Linked DNA regions of Anolis sagrei. The protein of the gene in region 1 binds, or shares a complex with, the protein of each later gene. Links are inferred from orthologs where the notes say so. Each region holds a gene or a part of one and is shown in the gene's direction. Other genes may lie near its edges.

Region 1 (8,110 bases):
ATGTGGGTAGTGACTAAAGAACCTTAGCTGTTATTGCCTTGTATTTCTCTCCCTCGTTTCAGGCTTCATGGTCTGTCCTGGTCCCGTTTCTTTTCTTTTGAACGTTTTGCAATATTTGCCAGTTGTGTTCTGTGTAGTCCGGATTTTGCTTTCTTGTAGTTGAACAAGCGTCTTAAGAGTCCTTTGTAATTTATTGAATTACTTTCTATGATGTTCTATAGAGCAAATGGAAGTTTAATTATTTTTTATTAAACATATTCTTTGACAACCCATGATGTTGGCCTCAGTACATTACAAAGTTCAGTTGTACGGATTTGCAAAGCAGTTGATTCCTGAAGCCATTCACTATTTGGGGAATTTATTCATGGAATCGAAGAGTTGGAGGAGACCTCAAGGGCCATCCAGTCCAAGCCCTTACAATGCTTGAGTGCCAAAAGTTTATTACCGAAAATAACAGTAGTGTTCCAGTCTATTGCAACCTCCAAGTGTGTGAGGACTATGTCACTTAACCTTCCCAGTATGCATTTTCAATGTTTCTTTCCTTCCTCGATTTGTTCATAGACTTCCCTCTTTTCTTTCCTTCTTCCCTTGATATCCCTCATACAACTTATTATTTCTTCTCTTATTTCTTCTCTTCCTTTTTTTCTCTTCCTTATTTCTTCTCTTCCTTATTTCTTCTCTTCCTTTTTCTCTCTCTTCAATCTTTTCCTGTCTCCTTTCTGCTCCCTTCCTATATCCGTCTTTCCTTCCTTCCTCTTCCCTTCATTCTTTCTGCACTCCCTGTCATGATCTTCCTTCTGCTTCCCTTTTTCCTTCTTCACTCCCTTCCTATGTCCCTTTTCTTTTCTTCCTTTTTTCTTCTTCGCTCCCTTCCTGTGTCCCTTTTCTTTTCTTCCTTTCTTCTGCTTCCCTTCTTTTTTCTATACACACTCTTCCTGTGTCCCTTTTTTCTTTCCTTCCTCTTCTTTTTTTTTCTTCACTCCCTTCCTGTGTCAATTTTCTTCCTTTCTCTTCCCTTTTTTCCTTCTTCACTCCCTTCCTGTTTCTTTCCTTCCTTCCTCTTTCCTTCTTTTTCTTTCTTCACTCCCTTCCTGTGTCCCTTTCCTTCCTTTCTTTTACTTTCTTCACTTTCTTCCTCTTCCCTTTTCTTTCTTCAATCTTTTCCTGTCTTCATCCTTTCCTTTTCTCTTCCTGTGACTTATTTCTTCCCTTCCTCTTTTCCTTTTCCTTCTCCCGCATTCACATCATCTAGCAAAAGCCAGTCTCCTTCACTTCCTTTATTCCCCAGTCACCTGATAGAGAACCACTTCACAGAGCCACAGCCAATCTGCTTTGTTCCTTTCTTTCTCTGCTCTGGATCTGAAAAGAGTGGTTCTTTCAGTTCAAACCTCTCAAGTATTTTTAGGTTGGATCATGAAGGCAATGTGTGCCAAGTTTGGTCCTGATGCATCAAGCCCTGGAGGAGCCTTTGTGGTACAAACCAAGCAACACCAAGACACTTTGGCTTTTTATAGAGAGATTTAAGGCCTGATTGGTGTTTTTGGACTTCAACTCCCAGAAGCCCCATCCTTCTGGGCCTGTTGTTGTTTATTCATTGAATCACTTCCGACTCTTTGTGACCTCGTGGACCAGCCCACGCTAGAGCTCCGTCAGCCGCCATCACCCCCAACTCCTACAAAGTCAAGTCGGTCACTTCAAGGATACCATCCATCCATCCATCTTGTCTTTGGCCGGCCCCTCTTTCTTTTTCCTTCCATTTTCCCCAGCATCATTATCTTCAAGCTTTCCTGTCTTCTCATGATGTGGCCATAGTACTTCATCTTTGCCTCTAATCTCCTTCCCTCCAATGAGCAGCCGGGCTTTATTTCCTGGACTGGTTGGATCTTCTCGTGGTCCAAGGCACTCTCAGAACTTTCCTCCAGCACCACAGTTCAAAAGTGTCTTATCTTCCTTCGCTCAGCCTTCCTTATGGTCCAGCTCTCACATCCGTAGGTTACTACATGGAATACCATTGCTTTTAACTATGCGGATCTTGGTTGCCAGTGTGATGTCTCTACTCTACTCTTCACTATTTTATCGAGATTGGTCATTGCTCTCCTCCCAAGATATAAACATCTTTTGATTTTTTTTGCACCTAGAACTATAAAGTCTGTCACGGCCTCCACATTTTCTCCCTCTATTTTCCAGTTGTCAATCATTCTTGTTGCCATAATCTTGGTTTTTTTGATGTTTAGCTGCAACCCGGCTTTTGCGCTTTCTTCTTTCACCTTGATTAGAAGGCTCCTCAGCTCCTCCTCGCTTTCGGCCATCAGAGTGGTGTCATCTGCATATCTGAGGTTGTTAATGTTTCTTCCAGCAATTTTCACCCCAGCCTTGCATTCGTCAAGCCCCGCACATTGCATGATGTGTTCTGCATACAAGTTGAATAGGTTGGGTGGGAGTATACAACCCTGCCGTACTCCTTTCCCAATCTTGTACCAGTCTGTTGTTCCATGATAAGTTCTGACTGTTACTGTGGAAATTATCTATCAAACAGATGGCAAGCTATTTAACCTCAGCAGACTGAAAGCCAAAAACAAGGTTACAACAACATCTCTTATAGAACTACAGTATGCTGATGACGTTGTCTGTGTGCATTCAGAAGACCTACAAGCCACTCTAAACACTCTAAACATCAAATCACCTCTCAAAGAAAGATTCCCCCAGGCACTTCCAAGCCATTAAATGGTAATCAAGGTGGCCAGTTGAAACATTCCCACCTAGCTCCAACAGACAAGAGTCCTTTGTCCCACCCTGGTCATTCCACAGATATATGAACCCATTTTCCTACTTCCAACAGACCTCACTACCTCTGAGGATGCTTGCCATAGATGCAGGCGAAACGTCAGGAGAAAATGCCTCTAGAACAGTGTTTCTCAACCTGGGGGTCGGGACCCCTGTGGGGGTCGCAAGGGGGTGTCAGAGGGGTCACCAAAGACCATCAGAAAACATAGTATTTTCTGTTGGGCATGGGGGTTCTGTGTGGAAAGTTTGGTCCAATTCTATCATTGGTGGGGTTCAGAATGCTATTTCATTGTTGGTGAACTATAAATTCCAACAACTACAACTCCCAAATGGCAAGGTCTATTTTCTCCAAACTCTACCAGTGTTCACATTTGGGCATATTGCGTATTTGTGCCAAGTTTGATCCAGATCCATCATTGCTTGAGTCCACAGTGTTCACTGGATGTAGGTGAACTACAACTCCAAAAACTCAAGGTCAATGTCCACCAGACCTTCCCAGTGTTTTCTCTTGGTCATGGGAATTCTGTGTGCCATGTTTGATTCAATTCCATCATTGATGGAGTTCAGAAGGCTCTTTGATTTATGGTGAACTATAAATCCCAGCAACTCCAGCATTACCAAATGACAAAATCAATCACCCCCAACCCCATCAGTATTCAAATTTTGGGCGTATCGGGTATTTGTGCCAAATTTGGTCCAGTGACTAAAAATACATCCTTTCTGCATATCAGATATTTACATTACAATTCATAACAGTAGCAAAATTACAGTTATGAAATAGCAACGAAAATAACGTTATGGTTGGGGGGTCACCACAACATGAGGACCTGTACTAAGGGGTCGCGGCATTAGGAAAGTTGAGAACCACTGCTCTAGAACATGGCCATATAGCCTGGAAAACCTACAACAACCTCCCACTACTGCAGTGGTTCTCAACCTTCCTAATGCCGCGACCCCTTAGTATAGTTCCTCATGTTGTGGTGACCCCCAACCATAACATTATTTTCATTGCTACTTCATAACTGTAATTTTGCTACTGTTATGAATCGTTATGTAAATATCAGATATGCAGGATGGATTTTCATTCACTGGACCAAATATGGCCCAAATACCCAATACGCCCAAATTTGAATACTGGTGGGGTTGGGGGGAATGATTTTGTCATTTGGTAGTTGTAGTTGCTGGGATGTATAGTTCACCTACAATCAAAGAGTATTCTGAAGTTCACCAACGATGGAATTGAACCAAACTTCGCACACTGAACTCCCATGACCAAGAGGAAATACTGGAAGGGTCTGGTGGACATTGACCTTGAATTTTTGGAGTTGTAGTTCACCTACATCCAGAGAGTACTGTGGCCAAAAACAATGATGGATCTGGACTAAACTTGGCACAAATACTCAATATCCCCAAATGTGAACACTAGTGGAGTTTGGGGAAAATAGACCTCAGCATTTGGGAGTTGTAGTTGCTGGGATGTATAGTTCACCCACAATGAAATAGCATTCTGAACCTCACCAGTGATAGAATTGGACCAAAATTCCCACACAGAACCCCCATGACCAACAAAAAATACTATGTTTTCTGATGGTCTTTGGCGATCCCTCTGACACCCTCTCGTGACCCCCACAGGGGTCCCGACCCCCAGGTTGAGAATCACTGCACTACTGTTTTCATCCGGGAGCGCGAAGCTTTGTGGGAAATGTAGTCCGCAGCAAAAGTGACGGCATTTATTTTTTAAAAGCCCCCACAGGCGCGCCTGCGCACAAGCAGCGCGCTGATTGGCGGGAGTTCTACCCCTGGCACCCAATCAGCGCAGAGGACGGGAGGGGTGAGGTGTTTAGATTCGAACGCGGAGGAAGAAGGAAAAAAACAATCCCTCCCTTCCAGCGGCGCATGCGTGGTGAGCGGCAGTGCGCGAGCGCCATCCCCTCACGACGCCCCTCAGTCAACACCATGTTGGGCGGCGGAGACGACGGAGGGGGAGGCGGCGAGGGAGCGGCGGAGGCGCCCGAGGAGGAGGAGGAAGGGAAAGGCAGCCCGGAGGAGGATGAGGAGGAGGAAGAGGCGGAGGACGACGACGGAGACACCCGGCAGCGCTACGAGGAGCTCTGCTGCAGCCTCAACATGGACGAGAGGGCCCGGGCCGAGGCCTGGCTCAGCTTCCAGGGCATGAGGAGGAACTACACTCTCGAGGTGGGAGGGGCTTCTCGGAGAGGGGGCGGGGCTTGTGCCAGAGGGGCGGGGCCTTCCTTAATGGGGCGGGGCTTGTGACAGAAGGGCGGGGCCTTCCTTAATGGGGCGGGGCTTGTGCCAGGGGGCGGGGCCAGACTGGTTGAGGGAGGTCTGTTGTGATTGACATTAGACCCTCTCTTCCATACAAAACTTAAAGGAATAGGAGTCCTTTAAGTCATTATTATTATTATTATTGTTTGTTTATTTATTTCACAGTTTTCTATACCGAGCTTCTCAACCTCGTTGAGGGACTCAGCCCGGTTTCCAGCCATAAAAACAAACACTCATTAAAATACCATATATCACAGATTACAAAAACACTATATGTAAACACTATAGTGGTCAGTCGTCCTATTAAGATGGGTCTACATCAACTTCCATCCAGGGTCCTAAGGTGTTATCTCATTCTTGTTATTATTGTTATTATTATCTCCCCTCTTCTATACAAACCTGTATACAGTACCTGTAAGCCTGTTATTGTTGATATTGGATCTCCTCTTTTATACAAACCTTTAAAGAACAGTCGTCCTATTAGGTTCTTGTGGGTTTTTTCGGGCTATATGGCCATGTTCTAGAGGCATTTCTCCTGACGTTTCGCCTGCATCTATGGCAAGCATCCTCAGAGGTAGTGAGGTCTGTTGGAATTAGGACAATGGGTTTATATATCTGTGGAACGGCTGGGGTGGGGCAAAGAGCTCTTCCCTGCTGCAGTTAGGTGTGAATGTTTCAGCTGATCACCTTCATTAGCATTTGAAGGCCTGCCTGAGCCTGGGAAAATCTCTTGCTGGGAGGTGTTAAGATGTGCCTGGTTGTTTCCTCTCTGTTGTTTTGCTGTTGTAATTTTAGAGTTTTTTATAATAGTGGTAGCCAGATTTTGTTCATTTTCATGGTCTCTTCCTTTCTGTTGAAATTGTCCACATGCTTGTGTATTTCAGTGGCTTCTCTGTGTAGTCTGACATGGTGGTTGTGAGGGTGGTCCAGCATTTCTGTGTTCTCAAATAATATGCTGTGTCCAGGCTGATTCATCAGGTGCTCTGCTATGGCTGACTTCTCTGGTTGAAGTAGTCTGCAGTGACTTTCATGTTCCTTGATGCGCGTCTGGGCGCAGGCGAAACGTCAGAAGAAATGCCTCTAGAACATGGCTCTATAGCCCGAAAAAACCCACAAGAACCTAGTGATTCCAGCCATGAAAGCCTTCGACAATATATTATTTTCCCCAAACCTCACCACTATTCACATTTGGGCATATTGAGTATTTGTACCAAGTTTGGTCCAGATCCATCATTGTTTGAGTCCACAGTGCTCTCTGGATGTAGGTGAACTGCAACTCCCAAAACTCAAGGTCAATGCCCAACAAACCCAGTATTTTCTGTTGGCCATGAGAGTTCTGTGTGCAGTTCCATTGTTGGTGGAGTTCAAAATGCTCTTTGATTGTAGGTGAAAAAATCCCAGCAACTACAACTCCCAAATGACAAAATCAATCACCCTCACAACCCCACCAGTATTCAAAATTGGGTCAGGGGAGTTCTGTGTGCCAAGTCTGGTTCAATTCCATCTTTGGTGGAGTTCAGAATACTCTGTGATTGTAGGTGAACTATAAATCCCAGCAACTACAACTCCAAAATAACAAATTAACCCATCCACCCCCCATCCCACCAGTATTCAAATGTGGATGTATCAGGTATTTGTTCCAAATTGGGTCCAGGGAATGAAAATGCATCCTGCATATCAGATATTTACATTGCGGTTCATAACAGGAGCAACATCACAGTTATGAAGTAGCAACGAAAATAATGTTATGGTTGGGGGTCAACACAACATGAGGAAGTGTATTAAGGGGTCACAGCATTAGGAAGCTTGAGAAACACTGACTTAAAGGAATAGGAGTCCTGTTATTATTGTTATTATAATTATTATCTCCCCTCTTCTATACAAACCTGTAAGGAACGGGTGCCTGTTATTGTTGATATTGGATCTCCTCTTTTATACAAACCTTAAAAAACAGTAGTCCTGTTGTTATTTTTTATTATTAAATTCCCTCTTCCATACAGACTTGGTGGTGGTGGTGTTGATATTGGATCCCTTTTTCTATACAAACCTTAAAGGAGCAAAAGCACTGTTGTTGATCATATTGGATCCCTTCTTCTGTACAAACCTTTAAGGAACAGGAGTCCTGTTATTATTGTTATTATTATTATCTATATTAATAAAAATGTAATGTTCATTTGTGGGGTTAACAGAACTCAAAAACCACTGGATGAATTGACACGAAATTTGGACACAATACACCTAACAGTCCAATGAGTGTCCATCACCCATAAACACACGCGCGCGCACAAAACCCCAGCGAACAGACTTAAAAACCCCCAAAATACACCATATATACATATACACATACACTCATATACATATATACATGTATACATTCATACACACACATGTATATATATGCACAAATATACACATATACACACATGCACATATACATGCACACATATAAACACACAAATACACACACACACACACACACACACATATATATATATATATATATACGCAAACACACATATATACAAAAATATATACACACACATATACACATATACACAGACCGGGCCACAGCAATGCATGGCAGGGGATGGCTAGTTATTATTAAATTCCCTCATCCATACAAACCTTAAAGGAATAGAAGCCCTTTCGTTGTGGATATTGGATCCCCTCTTCTATACAAACCTGTAAGGAACATGGCCCTGTTGTTATTATTGTTATTATTAACTCCCCTCTTCTATACAAACCTTAAAGGAACAGGATCTCTGTTGTTATTATGGAATACTCTCTTCTATACAAACTTTAAAGGAACAGGAGTCTTATTGTTATTGTTATTATTAATTTTAAATTCGCATTTCTATGCAGACCTTAAAGGAACAGGGGCCCTGTTGTTGTTATTGGATCCCCTCTTCTATATAAACCTTAAAGGAGCAGGAGTCCTGTTGTTATTGTTATTATTGTTAATTCCCCTCTTCTACACAAGCCATAAAGGAACAGCAGCCCTCTTGTTGTTAACTGTTATTATTAAATTCTCTCTTCTATA
Region 2 (8,346 bases), on another chromosome or scaffold:
AGTCTTAATAGGAAGTAGTTGAACAAGAACCCCCATAATCATTTCTGAGTTCTCCCCTCAGTTGCAAAACAGCGGTTCCAAATTCCATCCCACAGAAGCAACTCAGAAGGATACCATCTTATTGAAAACTGCTGATGAGCTTGGCAGAACAAATAGGGACACATTTCTCCAGTCCAATGCCCTGCATTAGTCATCAAGATTCATCAAGATTATCAAAACAGTTTCTGTCCTATAACCAGACCAGAAGCCAGATTGAAATGTACCGGTAATCTGTCTCATTCTGGAATCCCTGGAACCTAGAGGCCTATAAGTTTGCTCAAGAAAAGAATATTGGAGACTGATCAGTCATTCTCCAAGATGGTAGGGTCTTTTTTTTTCGAGTAAAGGTCTTACCAGACCTCTTTAAAGCAGGCTGTGGCGCTGCCTCGCCATAGTGAGGAAATTAGCTATGCCTCTTACCCAGTCATCTAACCCCCTCTGGCTACTTTTATGAACCAGGAAGGACATGGTCCAGTAGTGGCATCACTAAGGTTGGTGTCACCCAGTAGGTCACTTGTGGTGTCACTCCTTGGACCTCAGTCATATGCTGGGGGAAAAAAAATCTTTACAAGACACTTAAAAAACAGAATTACTCGTTTGACAACATAATCTTAAATGGGCTTACTAAGATGTTTGCACAATCAAGGGGATCCAAGCCCTATCGGATAAGTACTTTTTGTCCCTGTTATTGTTGAAGAGCTGCTACATCCATCTCTAAATGAAAAATTGTCTGAAACCAGTCTGAAATAATATATCCGTATGTGTGTGTGTGTACGTTGGCCACCAATAGATTCTTAGTGTCACATGTTATATTTAATTTTTTTTAGGTCTCTGAAGTACACTGGAACTGCTCTCTTCCATAGAAGAGAGGTCACAGCAGCACAGTTACATAGGGATGGAAGGACCAACTGAATTCCTCCACAAATCAGAGGGCAGCTCTAATCACATGAGATTAGGCAGTCCCGTTGGCCCCCCAATATGTGACAGGGGGAGATGCCAATTACATATAAGCAGGTTAACACCCTGTCCCTCCTTTGCTTGACCAATCCTTCTGCCCTCACTGCATAATGGGCCGGATAGGAAACCCCTTCCCCTTTAGCAAGGGTTTTTTCACCTACCTGCACTGCATCTTGATGGAATGGGAAAATGGGCTTTGGGTGGTGTCCTAAATAAGTCTATCCCTCTCAATGCAGATAATGATTTGTGGGGGGAAATTTAGTTGGTACCTTGGCACCTCTCTCCTTTTTGGTTGTAGGATTACCCCTGGAATGACCTCACTAGGTTCTGAGACTTGTGGGAAGGCTGGGAAAGAGATCACTCTTAGGGTTGGCTGGGACAACAACAACTTACTCTCCATTATAAAAACACATGCTTTAAGGAAAGGGATCCTGGGCTGGCCTTCCAGAATATGAACCGATAAGGGCATCCTATTGGACTGTCCCTCGAGATGAGGAAGTTGTCACAGAAGTGATACCTGTCCCTCGGCCGAGACTCACATCAAGTTGCTCTCCACCTTATAGAATAATCTCCAGAACAAATAAACTGAAAAGTTTAGGTTCATGAAATCGCCTTATTTCAGTCCAACTTTTGTGCTTGGGCCCTGTTATTTAGCTGTTGGTATTCAGTTACCACTTCCGCTCACCCAAATAAATGCACCAATTTTGATATAATTGAAAGTTGGGGATCATTTTTTCTTGTGCATCAGTCAAGCCAGGTCTTTTCCACTGTTCCATATTTTATCTCAAAATCCCAAGAACTAATATGTTTATGGATAGAAAACTTTTGGGGAAATTGTACTTTATTTGGAATTTTTGTCACAGTACATTCAGTTTTAAAAGTGCTTGTTCCTTTGAAAGTGAGAAGGACTGTATCAGAAATAGTAAAGGAAGCTCCTGTTGCACTTGCAGGGTTTTTAAAAAAATCATATTAGCATCACTACTTTGCATGATGACCAAAGTAGTACAGTATCCAAAGATATTAATGTTCTCCCACTTTTCATTCCTCCACCCCCACAGTGCTTGAAAATATTTTGAGAAACAAAGAATGTAAACCCACTCACATTTGGTATTGAGGGCATTTTTCAAAAGCATTGATTTTGTGTCTAGATGTGTATGTATGTGCAACTTCATGCATTACCACAGGGTTTTCTTAGGGAAGGAATAACCTGAGGTGGTTTTCCAATTCCTTCCTCTGAAATAGAGCATATGCACACTGTATTTATTGGCAGTTTCTCACCCAAGTACTAATCAGTGGTGACCCTAGTTAGCTTCTAAGATCAGACAGATCCGGTGTCTTTAGATACCAACTCTTAAAAATGGCATAGCTCTGCATTTGATTTGTTATGTCTCTCACCAGCTCAAGTTTCCTTTGAATGGCTACAAAGGCTGATGTGTTGCTGATGCAGTAAGAGGCATTCTTCTTTAGACAAGAGGAAAGACCAGTTTGGGTTTTCTTTGCAATGTAAGTATTTTACAAAACAGAATTGAGACCTTTTACTTCCAACAGCTTAGAACAGAATATAATAAGAGTGTAATGTTTGCAAAATATATTGTTCCTGTAATGTTGTTTATGAAAAAACTGTAGTATACTTGGGACAGGAGCAGGGATGAAGTTACTCTAATTAGTCACATGAATAGGAGTTCCAAATTGAACTACATCTACTGTTTTCCTTTCCAGATAGCTTAGGGTGTTAGTTTTGAATGAAAGGTACTGACTGTGGCTCCATGAAGGGAAAATAAAACAAAATAGTTAAAGCCAGAATTTTAGAGCTGACAAAGCATTTTGTCACATAAAATCACTAATTCAGAGGGAAACAAGAAAAAAGCATTACTAGCAATCAGTATGTGCAGAAGAAACAGTTTACTGGATGGTGTTGAGCATCTTAATTCTGGGGTTTTTTCCTTGGCTATTTGTGATTTGAAAATGTTGGTTCTGTCCTAGGAGCTTGGTTACTGTTGGCTCATAAACACAGCAGAGCATTCCATTACCTTATGGGTTATTATGATTCAGTGTGGGTGGCACCATTTGATGCTTGAATCATTTCGGCTGCAACTGCCATTAAGCTGGCTTACTTTTATGGGCAAGAAAATAACCTTTCCTTTTACTGTTCAGAAATGTACATTTGGTCTAATGTGCACTTACAGGAAGCAAGCCAAGTGTGCTTAGATCCATAAAGTATTTACTTGATTCATGAATTAAATGCATTTCTGATACAAAGTTTATGTAAGTTGTTGCAAATATAAGTTCTTAAATTAAAGGGTATTTCTCATATATTCTTTTTTTAAATTTAAAGATGCCATAGCTAATTGCAACATTTTATTCAGTTTGATAAGCTACCATAGGATGTCAAATGGTCAAAAAAATCAAGCCTTATCAGTTAAACAAGTCTCTGGGGGGAGAAAGGCGGGATTAAAATGAAGTAAATAATAACAATTAATAAAATACATTATTTTTATTTTAAAGTAGTAAATATCCTGAACAGCAGAGTTCTTGTACTAAATAAGTTAACTAAATTGTTTCCAAGTAACACTTCACTTTTTAATTTTTAATTGGACCCAGTATCAAAGCTTTCACTGGAGCATTCATTTGGACACATGGACAGATGCTTCCCGTAACCACAAAGATGGAATGAAACTTGTTCTAAAGCAGTGACTTTTGCTACTGATGTTCAGTTGTATTTTTATCTTAGATGAGCTGGAGATTGTCAAGCAAAATGTATTGTACTGCTAGTTTTTGCCCTGACAACACTTAGTGGGGATGGTTGATTTATTTTGTGTGTGTGTGTGTGTGAAAGGGAAGGAGTTCAGGCACCACTCCTACCTATGCTAATGAAGTACGTGATGCAGCAATACAAAAGGTGTCCCTCAGGAAATTTGAACAGGCAGTTCCCACTAAAAGAAATTTAACCAGATTTCACAAAGTTATATAATGTATAATAAATAAGCCTCCTGTTGTTGCTTTATGACAGCCACTTACTCCGAAAAAGGCTGCTGATCAGAGTTAAAATAAAAATGCTAACTGAAAATGCTGTATCACATCACTGTGTCTATAAGCATTGAGCATATCAATTTTTAAAAGCAGAAAAGCTGACACAAGAATTGAATGTGTGTTCCTCAATTCCAGGGAGTGGACTAGATGGCCCTTGTGGTCTTGTAACATATGTGGCTAAAAAACAGTGCCTAAGATTCTCATGGGGGGGTGGGGGGGAGAGACCTACTGATGTTTGCATATGGTAAATCAAAAATCACTATAAATCAACCATCACCACCAAAAAGTTGGAACACTTTAGTTCTAAAGAACTCACAGTGTAATTTGGGGAGGGGGTTGGAGGATTAAAAGTTTAATTCTGAGGGACACACAGTCTTTCCAACAAGGCGATCTTTCTAATAGAAATACATAGTGATCCAGTTGTGCTTGACCAAAAAAAACCCCATTTAAATCTACTGGCTTGATACCTTGACACTGTGTGGCTTTAATGTTAGAGGAATACCATTCTTACATTCAATACCATGCTCTGAATTCCAAACCTAGGCCCTGCGAATTGGGTAACTGCGACTAGATTCTATTTATCACTCGCATTTCAACAGACATTACTGAGAAAGTAGAAGCCAAAATCTACATGCAATGTTTCAAATCACTGAATTAAATCTACTTCAGACAGTTTCTACCTGATAACTTGGGTTTTTTTCAATGCCAAATCACTTTTCCTGAGTCCTAGAAAGAAGGAAAACTGAGATGTAGTAAGGAAAATTGAGATATAAATTAAATAAATAATTTGTTTCTTATTTGCTGTGATGGTCTCCTGAATAATATAGCTACTGGTATATCTAGAAGACAAAATATTTGTATAGTGGTTATGTGGTTATGAGTATAAGGAAATAAGGTTCACGTTTTGCTTTTTTTTAGAAAATACATTCCTGCCAGTGTCTACCATCGACTAAGATTTTGTCCAAAACATTATCATCAGTAAATTTAAATGTCAGACCCCAAATGGTAAGTACTGTTGCCCTTTAACAGCTTTTAATTAGTAGAACTATACAGAATAGCAGTTCTGTATTCACAGCTACAAATGTTCAGACACCTTTTCATAGGTTTCTTCATTATGGAAAGATATTGATGGACTTGTGTATTTTCTGGGGATAAATAATTGCCATATATTAATGTGTTGTGCTGCATGCCAGTACATAAGGGCTTCTGAAGCAAACATCAGAATTGGTACTTTATGAAATACACATTTCTCAATATGCTCTATAAAAAATTTATTTCAAATCACCAGTACAAGTACTGTTCCAAATACATGCAATTTTGTAATAGAACTGCTTTGTGCAGCTGTACTAATTGGTTAAACTAAGAAACAGTTGCACAATGTTTCCTGTTTTCCTCCTGCAATAGCTTCTTTGCTTAGCATCAACACATTCCCACTGTATACTTGATTTTTGTTAAAAATCACATTTCTGATAAATGCAGGTAATTGGTTTGTATCCAACAGTAGTAGAAGAACAAAATAATAATACACAGATATTTTACCATGCCTATTTTATCCAGTTAACACTTATTCTATATGTTACACAAGAGAGCCATAAAAAGATGTATGTGCACACTGATTTTTGATCTAGTAGCAGAAAAAAAACTTTATTTTTGTAATGGAAACAACTGTCCTCTACCATTTTTAGCATGCGCACGCGCACACACACCCTTGCATTTTGCATCCATAGATTTAGCCAACCATGGCTCAAAAATATTGAGAAAAAATCCCCAAAACAAACTTTATTTTTTGCCACCAGGCATTAACAGTGATGTGTAGCCATACCTTGCTGTAGCCTCCTGCCATTTCACATATCTTCAGGCTGGTACATGTTTGAGTTCTTCATCATTTTATATAAGGATACATAGTGTATATACTGTTATATACCAAAGTCTGTGGATGCTCAAGTCCCATTATATACAATGGAATACAGAGTACTTCAAAATAACGGCCCCAATTTCAAAACAGCGCAGTTCACAATGGCAACATGTTACAATTACGCAAACAGTTACCAACAGTTTAAAGAGTAATCAAGTTATCAAGATTTACTGACCATTTTATAAAAACACTATGCGCCCTCCACCTGCTTTATGGACAATATTGGGACAATAGTGGAACACAAAATGCCTTATGACTGAGGCTATGCTCTGTTTGTATACTGGGAGAGTAATCTTGCAGTAATAATTTGAAAAACTATACCTTTCAAGTGGTAAGAGTTTCATTCATGAGCAGCTTGCGTTTATAGTGATAGTGATTTCAAATTGGGTCCGTCAAGTCCATCCTGTATAATGGGACTTGAGCATCCACAGGTTTTGGTATAAACGGGGCTGGGATGGGATGGGGGGCTTCTGGAGCCAAATCTCATTGATTGCCCCTTGTAGCAGTCTTTGGGTACATGATGTAACCACCTAAATGAATTCCAATGTAGAAATATTTTATAACATAAATTAAATAAATATAATTATATCCAAAGTTATTGTTTACGATGCAGGGTCTTGTATGTAGTCCAACAGTATGAAGTCTTGATTGAGAGAATGGTCAGGTCTGAATTGCCCCCTTTCTGTGGTTACTCTGATTTTATACAAGTACACTGTGCTTTAAAATATGCTGTGTTCTCTCCTCCCTTCCCTTCCCCAGCACCACCTATGCTTCCTAGACGTATTTCTAGGGTGGCTGAGTGCATCTTTTTCATCCTTGCAATGCCTAGTTGGGGTTAAAATTGGATCTGCAGTAAAAAATATTCTCGGATCACCCCAACAACTGTCCCTTCTCTCAGTCCAACCACCATCCCAGGCACGATTGGAGAGGATGCCAGAGAGGGCCTTTTCAGTGGCTGCCCCTGGAACCTTCTCCTTAGTGAAGCCAGAATAGCACCCTCCCTGTTGTCCTTTCAGCAGCAGGCTAACATCTTTTCATTCCTGCAAACTTTTAAAGAAGAAAGCTTTTAAGTACGAGCCGGGAGATGCTGTGTGGTCATTTAAGTATTTTAATAGTTTTTAATAATTTTGTGTGCATTTAACTATTTATTTATTTATTTATTAAATTTATTTCTATCCTGCTTTATCTCCCCCCAAGGGTACTCAAAGCAGCTTAACATAAAAGCATCTGCAAAACCATTTAAAATATACAGATATGCGAACATTAAAACAGGATTAAATATAAACAGTATTTTTAAATTCCCAGTTAAAAACTATTAAAATAAATTCAAAGTTAAAAACCACAGCACCCCTGAATTGATCTTAAAAACCTTCATATTTAAAAGCCTTCCTGAATAAAAAGGTTTTAGTCTACTGCCAGAAGGACAGCAGGGTTCTCTGGGGAGGGGTTTCCAGAGTCAAGGGGTAGCCACGGAAAAGGTCCACTCTCTTGTACCCACCAATCATGCTTGAGATGGAGGTGGGACCAAGAGAAGGGCCTCTCCTGAAGATTTCAGGGCTCAGGCAGGTTCATACAAGGAGATGCGATCAGCCCAATAGCCTGGATCTGAACTGTCTAGAGCTTTAAAGGTCATAACCAGCACTTTGAATTGTTCCCGGAAACAGACTGGTAGCCAGTGAAGCTGCTGCAATGGGTGGGGGGGGGGGTTGTCTGCTCCCTGTAGCCAGCCTCAGTTAGCAGCCTGGCTGCAGCTCTATGGACCAGCTGAAGTTTCCGAGCACTCTTCAGAGGCACTGCCACGTAGAGCATGTTACAGTAATCCAGGCAGGATGTAACTAAGGCATGTACCACTGTGGCCAGATCTGGCTTTTCAAAGAATGAGTACAGTTGGTGCACAAGTTTTAATTGTGCAAACACCCTCGTAGCCACCACTGATACCAAAGTCTTCAGGTTGAATGCTGAATCCAGGAGGACCCCCAAACTGCAAACGTGTGTCTTTAGGGAAATGGTAACCCATCCAGCACAGGCTGAATCCCTATTTCTTGGTCTGCCTTTCGACTGACCAGGAGTACTTCTATCTTGTCTGAAGTAAGTTTCAATTTGTTTGCCCTCATCCAGTCCATTACTGATAGCAGGCATTGGTTTAGGGTCAGGACAGCTTCCTTGGCATTAGGTGAAAGGAGTAGTAGAGTTGGGTGGCATCTGCATATAGGCCACACCGTACTCCAAAACTCCAGATGACCTCTCCCAGCAGTTTCATGTATATGTTAAACAGCATGGGGGACAAAACGGAACCCTGAGGAACCCCACAGAGCAACGGCCATGGGTCCCCCAGCACCACCTTCTGGGTACGGCCCTCTAAGAAGGACCAGAGCCACTGTAAGCCCCCCACTCCCATCCCGGTG
Region 3 (7,955 bases), on another chromosome or scaffold:
GAACATACGTTAAGGCTTTCCCTTTCATCTCTGGCTTCTGGAGGCAGTGCTCAACTCTGGCCATGGTGAGGTACACCTTTTCCATTCTCAAGCCAAGGAGATGTTGTCCGTAGACACCTCCTGGTCATGTTCCTGGCGTGGTTGCTTGAGCACCTTTATTACCTTCCCACCGAAGCGGTATCTATTGATCTACTCACATTTGCCTATTTTCAAACTGCTAGGTTGGCTGGAGCTAGGGCTAACAGCAGGAGCTCACCCTGACTCCTGGCTTCAAACCGCCAACCTTCAGGTCAGCAGATTCAGCAGTGCAAGGATTTAACCCATTGCGCTTGTACAAATCTAGGCAAAAACCCTACAGAGTAGCCTTTTAGAAATCAAGAGCCCCTGATTTCTTGTTCTTACCTGCTCTTCAAATGAAATTACACGAGGCTGGATCTTTTCCAACGTGAAGTGGTAGATTTCTTTAGCTGTGCCGTCAGGAAGGCTCGGGAGATGGGTACAAAAGTCTGTCAGCAACTGGCGCGAAATCACTAAACTGACATTTTCATTCACCACTAAATAAGGGACACAATGAGAAATTTTTAAAAAAACATACCTTTAAATCAGGCTTGTCATTTGGACCATAATCATGCTGTTATCAAGACTAAATTATATTTTGTTGATTGCAAACTTAATTTTCAGACAGCCAAACTAAATGAAATGAGCTTTTGTATATTACACCAACAGTGGTACATTGTCAAATTTTCAACTCATTTGTCTCATGTGGTCCAAGTACTCCTGGATTAACAAGAGTAAGCATCATTAGCAATTCCATGACACAAAAACAGGCAAATGAAAAACTGTTTACCTACACACAAACACAAATGCAAGTCCTGCAGTTCGGCATTTATAACTCTGGCATTTAACAACATCTGAAAAACAATGTTGAAACTCACTTGCTTCTACGAAGGCTTTTAATGCCTCTAACTGTTCGACTCCAGAGAGCTGAATTGCTTTTTCCAATATCTGCCGATATCTGCCAGAAAATGTCAAAAATAAATCAGTCACAATTAACAATACTGGCTTATTTTCAGAATGAGTTTTACATTTGGGTGGAATGAGAGTAGTAGTCAATGTAAACAGTCAAAACATAACTTAGGTTTAAGGAATTTGTCCTTAAAAAAAAACACAACAAAGCACAAAACTCTCTTCTGTGCTGATACCTTTACTAGGCCAACGGAAAGGCACAAAGTACATTCCACTTGCTTTCAAAGCTTGACAGAACTCTTTATCAAGCAAAAATGGTGAAACTGTTTATGAGGAAAAGAAAGTGACAGTGCTGTGGCCACCATGTCTATATTTTGGATGTCACACATACTTCCTGTCACATTCAAAACGCAAAGGCCATAACCACAAAACTGTCACCTTATTTCTCACTGTGCTATTTGAATATCTTGATTGTTGATTTTCAGGAGTGTTAAAAACATGACTTGCTGGAAAGAAAATAGTTATTTTTAACACTTTGAAAACCAGTATCTTACTCCTATTTCCTACTGCTCACTGTATAGACAAGGCAGGAGTACAAATGTATCAATAATTTAATCATTAAACAGGGTAAATCAACCAGTAAATTCCATCTGAGATGGAGATTACATCCTAACAACTGTTCAGCTGAGGGGTTAACATTATTATTTTAATATCATTTTGATAATGTTGTTGCTGTCCATTGTATATGTTTTGATTTTATTGCTGTATTATGTTGTCCAGGCTTGCCCCCATGTAAGCCGCTCCGAGTCCCCATCGGGGAGATGGTAGCGGGGTAGAAATAAAGTTTATTATTATTATTATTATTATTATTATTATTATATGTATCCACCACCAAGACACTACAATTGAAAGGCCAAAATACTCGGACAATGAGGGATAACCTAAGTAAGTAAGTAGGATCTGATGCGGAGGAACAACAGCAAAGTGCTATAGGTGACACCATATTTGTGTCCACTGACTGCACCTGTTTATTTCCTAGAAAGTCTCCACAGATCAGATGGTGATGCCTCATGGGAATACTATGTTGGGAATACTATGTTTAGTACCATAGGTTTAATAAAGGGCAAGCGGTGGCATTTGAGAAGGTGACACATACTGATCCTGATGAGTAGAGATGCAACCTCCTTCAGGGTAGGGAATGTAGCTGGGATTTTAATAATAATTGAAGAATAATTGGAATAATTGAAGGACACTGAAAAGCAAGATTTTGCTCAATTTATAAACACGTTCAACTTAGTAATTGTCTTAGAGAAAGCCTTTTGGTTGCAGTGGGAGAAATTGTTTTGAAAGATGGTTTGCTGTACATAAAACTCTCAAGGATAATAGGTTCAAGAGCAAGGAGAAGGGGAAACGATAACACCACATGCAAAGGGCATTAACAGCTGGGGATGTAAAAATAATTAATAGAAGAGAAGGAAAATGTTTGCTTGGCTAAGTGGAGGTAGGATGTTGACAAAATGTGATGAATCCATAGTGAATTAGAGAACCTGGAAGATGAAAAGGGACCCAATAAAGCAGTATTTTTTTTGGAGGGGGTCTCAGTGAGATTGCACACACACATGTTGAGATGTGTGTATGACTGTCTAACTTTTACAGGGTTTGGGTTTTTTCGGGCTATATGGCCATGTTCTAGAGCAGTGTTTCTCAACCTGGGGGTCAGGACCCCTGGGGGGGTTGCGAAGCTGTGTCAGAGGGGTTGCCAAAGACTATCAGAAAACACAGTAATTTCTGTGATCATGGAGGTTCTGTGTGGGAACTTTGGCCCAATTCTATCATTGGTGGGGTTCAGAACGCTCCTTGATTGTAGGTGAACTATAAATCCCAGCAACTACAACTCCCAAGTGTCAAGATTCTATTTCCCCCAAACTCCACCAGTGTTCACATTTCGGCATATTGAGTATTCTTGTAGAGTTTGGTCCAGATCCATCATTGTTTGAGTCCACAGTGATCTTTGGATGTAGGTGAACTACAACTCCAAAACCAAAGGACACTGCCCACCAAACCCTTCCAGTATTTTCTGTTGGTCATGGGAGAACTGCGTGCCAAGTTTGGTTCAATTCCATCGTTGACGGGGTTCGGAATGTACTTTGATTGTAGGTGAACTACAAGTCCCAGCAACTACAACTCCCAAATGACAAAATCAATTTTTTGAATGAAGGACATAAATTGGGTTGTTAGGTGTATCGTGTCCAAATTTGGTGCCAGTTGCCCCAGTGGTTTGTGAGTTCTATGGATAGCACAAACGAACATTACATTTTTATTTATATAGATTATTATTATTCATTCTACAGTGAAGATGGGCAAGGGACGGGCCAGGCCGTGTTTAAACCACTGAATCAATGCCTTCCCTGGGTTGTTGTAGGTTTTTCGGGCTATATGGCGATGGTCTAGAGGCATTCTCTCCTGACGTTTCGCCTGCATCTATGGCAAGCATCCTCAGAGATAGTGAGGTCTGTTGGAACAAGGAAAAAGGGTTTATATATCTGTGGAATGACCAGGGTGGGACAAAGAACTCTTGTCTGCGGGAGCTAAATGTGAATGTTTCAACTGACTACCTTGATTAGCATTTCATGGCCTGACAGTGCCTGGGACAATCTTTTGTTGAGAGGTGATTAGATGTCCTTGTTTGTTTCCTCTCTGTTGTTTAGCCGTTGTAATTTTAGAGTTTTTTTTTAGTACCGGGAGCCAGATTTTGTTCATTTTCATGGTTTCCTCCTTTTTGTTGAAATTGTCCACATGCTTGTGGATTTCAGTGGCTTCTCTGTGTAGTCTGACCTCACTACCTCTGAGGATGGCTGGAATCACTCAGTTGTTGTAGGTTTTTTTGGGGGCTATATGGCCATGTTCTAGAGGCATTATTTCCTGACGTTTTGCCTGCATCTGTGGCAAGCAAATTAAAAACTCTAAAATTAAAACAGCAAAACAGCAGAAGGAAAACAATCAGGGACATCTAATCACCTCTCAACAAAAGATTGCTCCAGGCACTTCCAGGCCATCAAATGCCAATCAAGGTAGTCAGCTGAAACATTCACACCTAGCTGCAACAGACAAGAGTCCTTTGTCCCACCCTGGTCATTCCACAGATATATAAACCCCTTTTTCCTAGTTCCAACAGACCTCACTACCTCTGAGGATGCTTGCCATAGATGCAGGCGAAACATCAGGAGAGAATGCCTCTAGACCATGGCCATATAGCCCGAAAAAACCTACAACAACCCAGTGATTCCGGCCATGAAAGCCTTCGACAATACAATGCCTTCCCTTCCCTTTTTGCGAGCTTCTCCTGCCCCGCTCCGCCTTCCCTCATCGAAAACCAAGAAGCCGTCGCTTACTTCCCGGCTAAATCCTTGTGGGAGCCGCTGGAGCTCATGAGCTGCGTCAACTCCTGCCTCACCGCCGCCGCCATTTTTCTTTTCTACACTTCCGGTGAGGGAAAAATAACCACGCCCCCTCCGTCGCCTCAGAAACCAATGAGGGCGGACTCTGCGTCATTCTCGAGCGCGCGCGCGTACACGCACGCACGCACAGTGACGCTTTCAACCCGGAAGTGGCTGTGTTTTTGGAGAAGGCGGGAGAAGAGTGATGACGCCGAAGCCGTTGCCAAGACGGCGGCGCTGCCGAGCTATTATGGGATGCGGCGGAATGGCGCTGGGCGCGTGATTTTGAACAAACACGGAACCGGGAGAAGGAGAGAAGGGAGAGGAGGAGGAGGAGGAGAGAGCGGAGGCGGGGGAGAGAGGGCTGCGCTTCTGGCCGCGAGGGTTTAACGGCAGCCTGAGGGCGAAGGAAGGCCTGGTGCTCGGAGGAGAAGCCTGACGGGAAACGCGCCCTGGAGTGACAGGTGCCTCATATCAACTGCATTACGGGACAGGGTAAATACACCAGGCCTGGGCCAACTTGGGCCCTCCCTCCCTCCAGGTGTTTTGGACTCCAACTCCCACAATTCCTAACAGTAGGGAAATACACAAGGCCTGGGCCAACTTGGGCCCTCCCTCCAGGTGTTTCAACTCCCACAATTCCTAACAGCCGGTAGGCTGTTAGGAATTGTGGGAGTTGGAGTCCAAAACACCTGGAGGGAGGGCCCAAGTTGGCCCAGGCCTTGTGTATTTACACTGCCGGCTGTTAGGAATTGTGGGAGTTGGAGTCCAAAACACCTGGAAGGAGGAAGGGCCCAAGTTGGCCCAGGCCTAATCCATACTGCACACCGTGTAATTTTTCCCTGTGGACAATCTGTTGTTTTTGCAGGAGCATATCTGACACATCAACTGAAACCATACATTCATTTTGGCATTTAAATAGGACACATGCTTGTTGATAGCTCCAAAACTTGTTAATCACTCCTTGATTGTTGATTGTGGGTGTTATGAGTTTTGACCGGGACAGAGCCCTGTTAAACCCCTGTGCCGGCAGGACTGAAGACCGACAGATTTTTTTTTCCAAATTTTGTTACCTAGTGTAATATGAGATAACCTCTTTATCTGTACTCATTCTATTGATTTCTCCGTGCTACTTCCACTTCCCATAGCATTGGTGCCACATAAACGTGAATTGAGGATTTTAACCCCCCCCCCCCCCCCGTGGCACAGTGGGTTAAACCCTTGTGCCAGCAGGACTGAAGACCAACAGGTCAGAGGTTCAAATCGGGGAAAATGAGGGTGAGCTCCCTCTGTCAGCTCCAGCTCCCTATGCAGGGACATGAGAGAAGCCTCCCACAAGGATGATAAAAACATCAAATCATCTGGGCATCCCCTGGGCAACGTCCTTGCAGACGGCCAATTCTCTCACACCAGAAGCAACTTGCAGTCTCTGAAGTCGCTCCTGACACAACAACAACCAAAAAAAAACCCAGGGACAGAAATTTATTATTTATTAATTATTTATTTATTTCCAGTATTTATGTACCGCCTTTCTCACCCTTGGGGGGACTCGAAGCAGTTTACACATAAATAATGGCAAAATTCAATGCCTTACATTGGGCACCGATACGATGCCAATACAAACAAATAGCATATTTAATGTATTGTCGAAGGCTTTCATGGCTGGAATCACTCAGTTCTTGTGGGTTTTTTCGGGCTATATGGCCATGTTCTAGAGGCATTTCTCCTGATGTTTCGCCTGCATCTATGGCAAGCATCCTCAGAGGTGAGGTCTACTGGAAATGGGAAAAAAGGGGTTTATATATCTGTGGAATGGCCAGGGTGAGACAAAGGGGCTTTTGTAAGTTGGGCTGGGTGTGAATCTTTCCACTGACCACCTTGATTAGCATACAATGGGCTGACAGTGCCTGGAGCAAACTCTTCTTGAAAGGTGATTAGATGTCCCTGCCTGTTTTTCTCCCTGCTGTTTTGCTGTTGCAATTTTAGAATTTTTTAATACTGGTAGCCAGATTTTGTTCATTTTCATGGTTTCTTCCTTTCTGTTGAAATTGTCCACATGTTTGTGGATTTCAATGGCTTCTCTGTGTAGTCTGACATGGTGGTTGTGAGAGTGGTCGAGCATTTTTGTGTTCTCAAATAATATGCTGTATCCAGGTTGGTTCATCAGGTGCTCTGCTATGGCTGACTTCTCTGGTTGGAGTAGTCTGCAGTGCCTTTCGTGTTCCTTGATTCGTGTTTGGGCGCTGCGTTTGGTGGTCCCTATGTAGACTTGTCCACAGCTGCATGGTATATGGTAGACTCCTGCAGAGGTGAGAGGATCCCTCTTGTCCTTTGCTGAACGTAGCATTTGTTTGATTTTCTTGGTGGGTTTGTAGATAGTTTGTATGTTGTGTTTTCTCATCAGCTTCCCTATGCGGTCAGTGGTTCCCTTGATGTATGGCAGGAACACTTTTCCTCTGGGTGGATCTTCATCTTTACCGTACTCTCGTGGCTTGTTCTTGGTCTTGAAGCTCTCCTGATGTCTGAGGTGGAGTATCCATTGGCCTGGAGAGCCCAGTTGAGGTGGTTCAGTTCATCTTGGAGGAGGTGGGGTTCACAGATTCTTTTTGCACTGTCTGTCAAGGCTTTAATGGTGCTTCTTTTTTGACTTGGGTGATGGTTGGAGTTTTTATGTAGATATCTATCTCTGTGTGTGGGTTTTCTGTAAACTGTGTGATCCAATTGTTGATCTGGTTTACGGATGACTAGGACATCTAGAAAAGGCAGTCTTCCTTCCTTTTTCCATAGTGAACTGGATGTTAGCATATTTGCTCCTTGATTGTTGATCATGGGTGTTGTGTGTTTTGACAGAGCCAGAAATAGCATTAAGCAACTGGTGAAACCAAAACAAAGGCTCTGCTATAAAGGGAAGTTTTACAAATCAGCACTAAAGGTTACCATTAGAAATAATATAAGAAGCCCCCCCCCCCAAGTATTTGGCAAGAATCAGATGTGTATTTTTTTGTATCAGGAGCAATTTGAGAAACTGCAAGTTACTTCTGGTGTGAGAGAGTTGGCCGTCTGCAAGGACGTTTCCCAGGGGGATGCCCAGGTGTTTTTGATGTTTTGCCATCCTTGTGGGAGGCTTCTCTCATGTCCCCACATGGGGAGCTGGAGCTGACAGAGGGAGCTCATCTGCGCCCTCCCCGGAATGAGATGACTGTTCAAGAATACAGTCCCAGAATATGCCAACAGAAACATTTCCTTGTATTGTCGAAGGCTTTCATGGCCGGAATTACTGGGTTCTTGTAGTTTTTTTCGGGCTATATGGCCATGTTCTAGAGAAATTCTAACATTTCCAAAACATGCTACGTACTAAGAACTGACTGCTTTGGAGTGTGGTAGAAGCTCCTTCCTTGGAAGCTTTTAAACAGTGGACGGATGGCCATCTGTTAGGGGTGCTTTGATTGTTTTCCCTGCATGGCAGGAGGTTGGACTAGATGACCAGTGTAGATTAGGCATGGGCCAACCTTTGTCACTCCTGGTAATGTCTGAGAGTAGAAAGCCCAAAAG

What was found. The genes of interacting proteins can lie anywhere in the genome.
Region 2: RBL2 (region 1) and TFDP2 share a complex: the UniProt entries of both Homo sapiens proteins name them as parts of the DREAM complex. The link is inferred for Anolis sagrei from reciprocal best matches to the Homo sapiens genes RBL2 and TFDP2.
Region 3: RBL2 (region 1) and LIN54 share a complex: the UniProt entries of both Homo sapiens proteins name them as parts of the DREAM complex. The link is inferred for Anolis sagrei from reciprocal best matches to the Homo sapiens genes RBL2 and LIN54.

Annotation. Positions count from the first base shown.
Region 1 is NC_090028.1:34,141,415-34,149,524, forward strand, and holds the start of RBL2 (retinoblastoma-like protein 2), read left to right. Parts: upstream 1-4,662; 5' UTR 4,663-4,680; coding exon 4,681-4,980; intron 4,981-8,110. UniProt on the Homo sapiens protein: Key regulator of entry into cell division. Directly involved in heterochromatin formation by maintaining overall chromatin structure and, in particular, that of constitutive heterochromatin by stabilizing histone methylation.
Region 2 is NC_090023.1:236,981,334-236,989,679, reverse strand, and holds the start of TFDP2 (transcription factor Dp-2), read left to right. Parts: upstream 1-4,956; 5' UTR 4,957-5,028; coding exon 5,029-5,031; intron 5,032-8,346. UniProt on the Homo sapiens protein: Can stimulate E2F-dependent transcription.
Region 3 is NC_090025.1:17,418,731-17,426,685, reverse strand, and holds the start of LIN54 (protein lin-54 homolog), read left to right. Parts: upstream 1-4,565; 5' UTR 4,566-4,898; intron 4,899-7,955. Other genes in the region: COPS4 (COP9 signalosome complex subunit 4), read right to left, coding at 403-554, 936-1,015, 4,359-4,432. UniProt on the Homo sapiens protein: Component of the DREAM complex, a multiprotein complex that can both act as a transcription activator or repressor depending on the context. In G0 phase, the complex binds to more than 800 promoters and is required for repression of E2F target genes.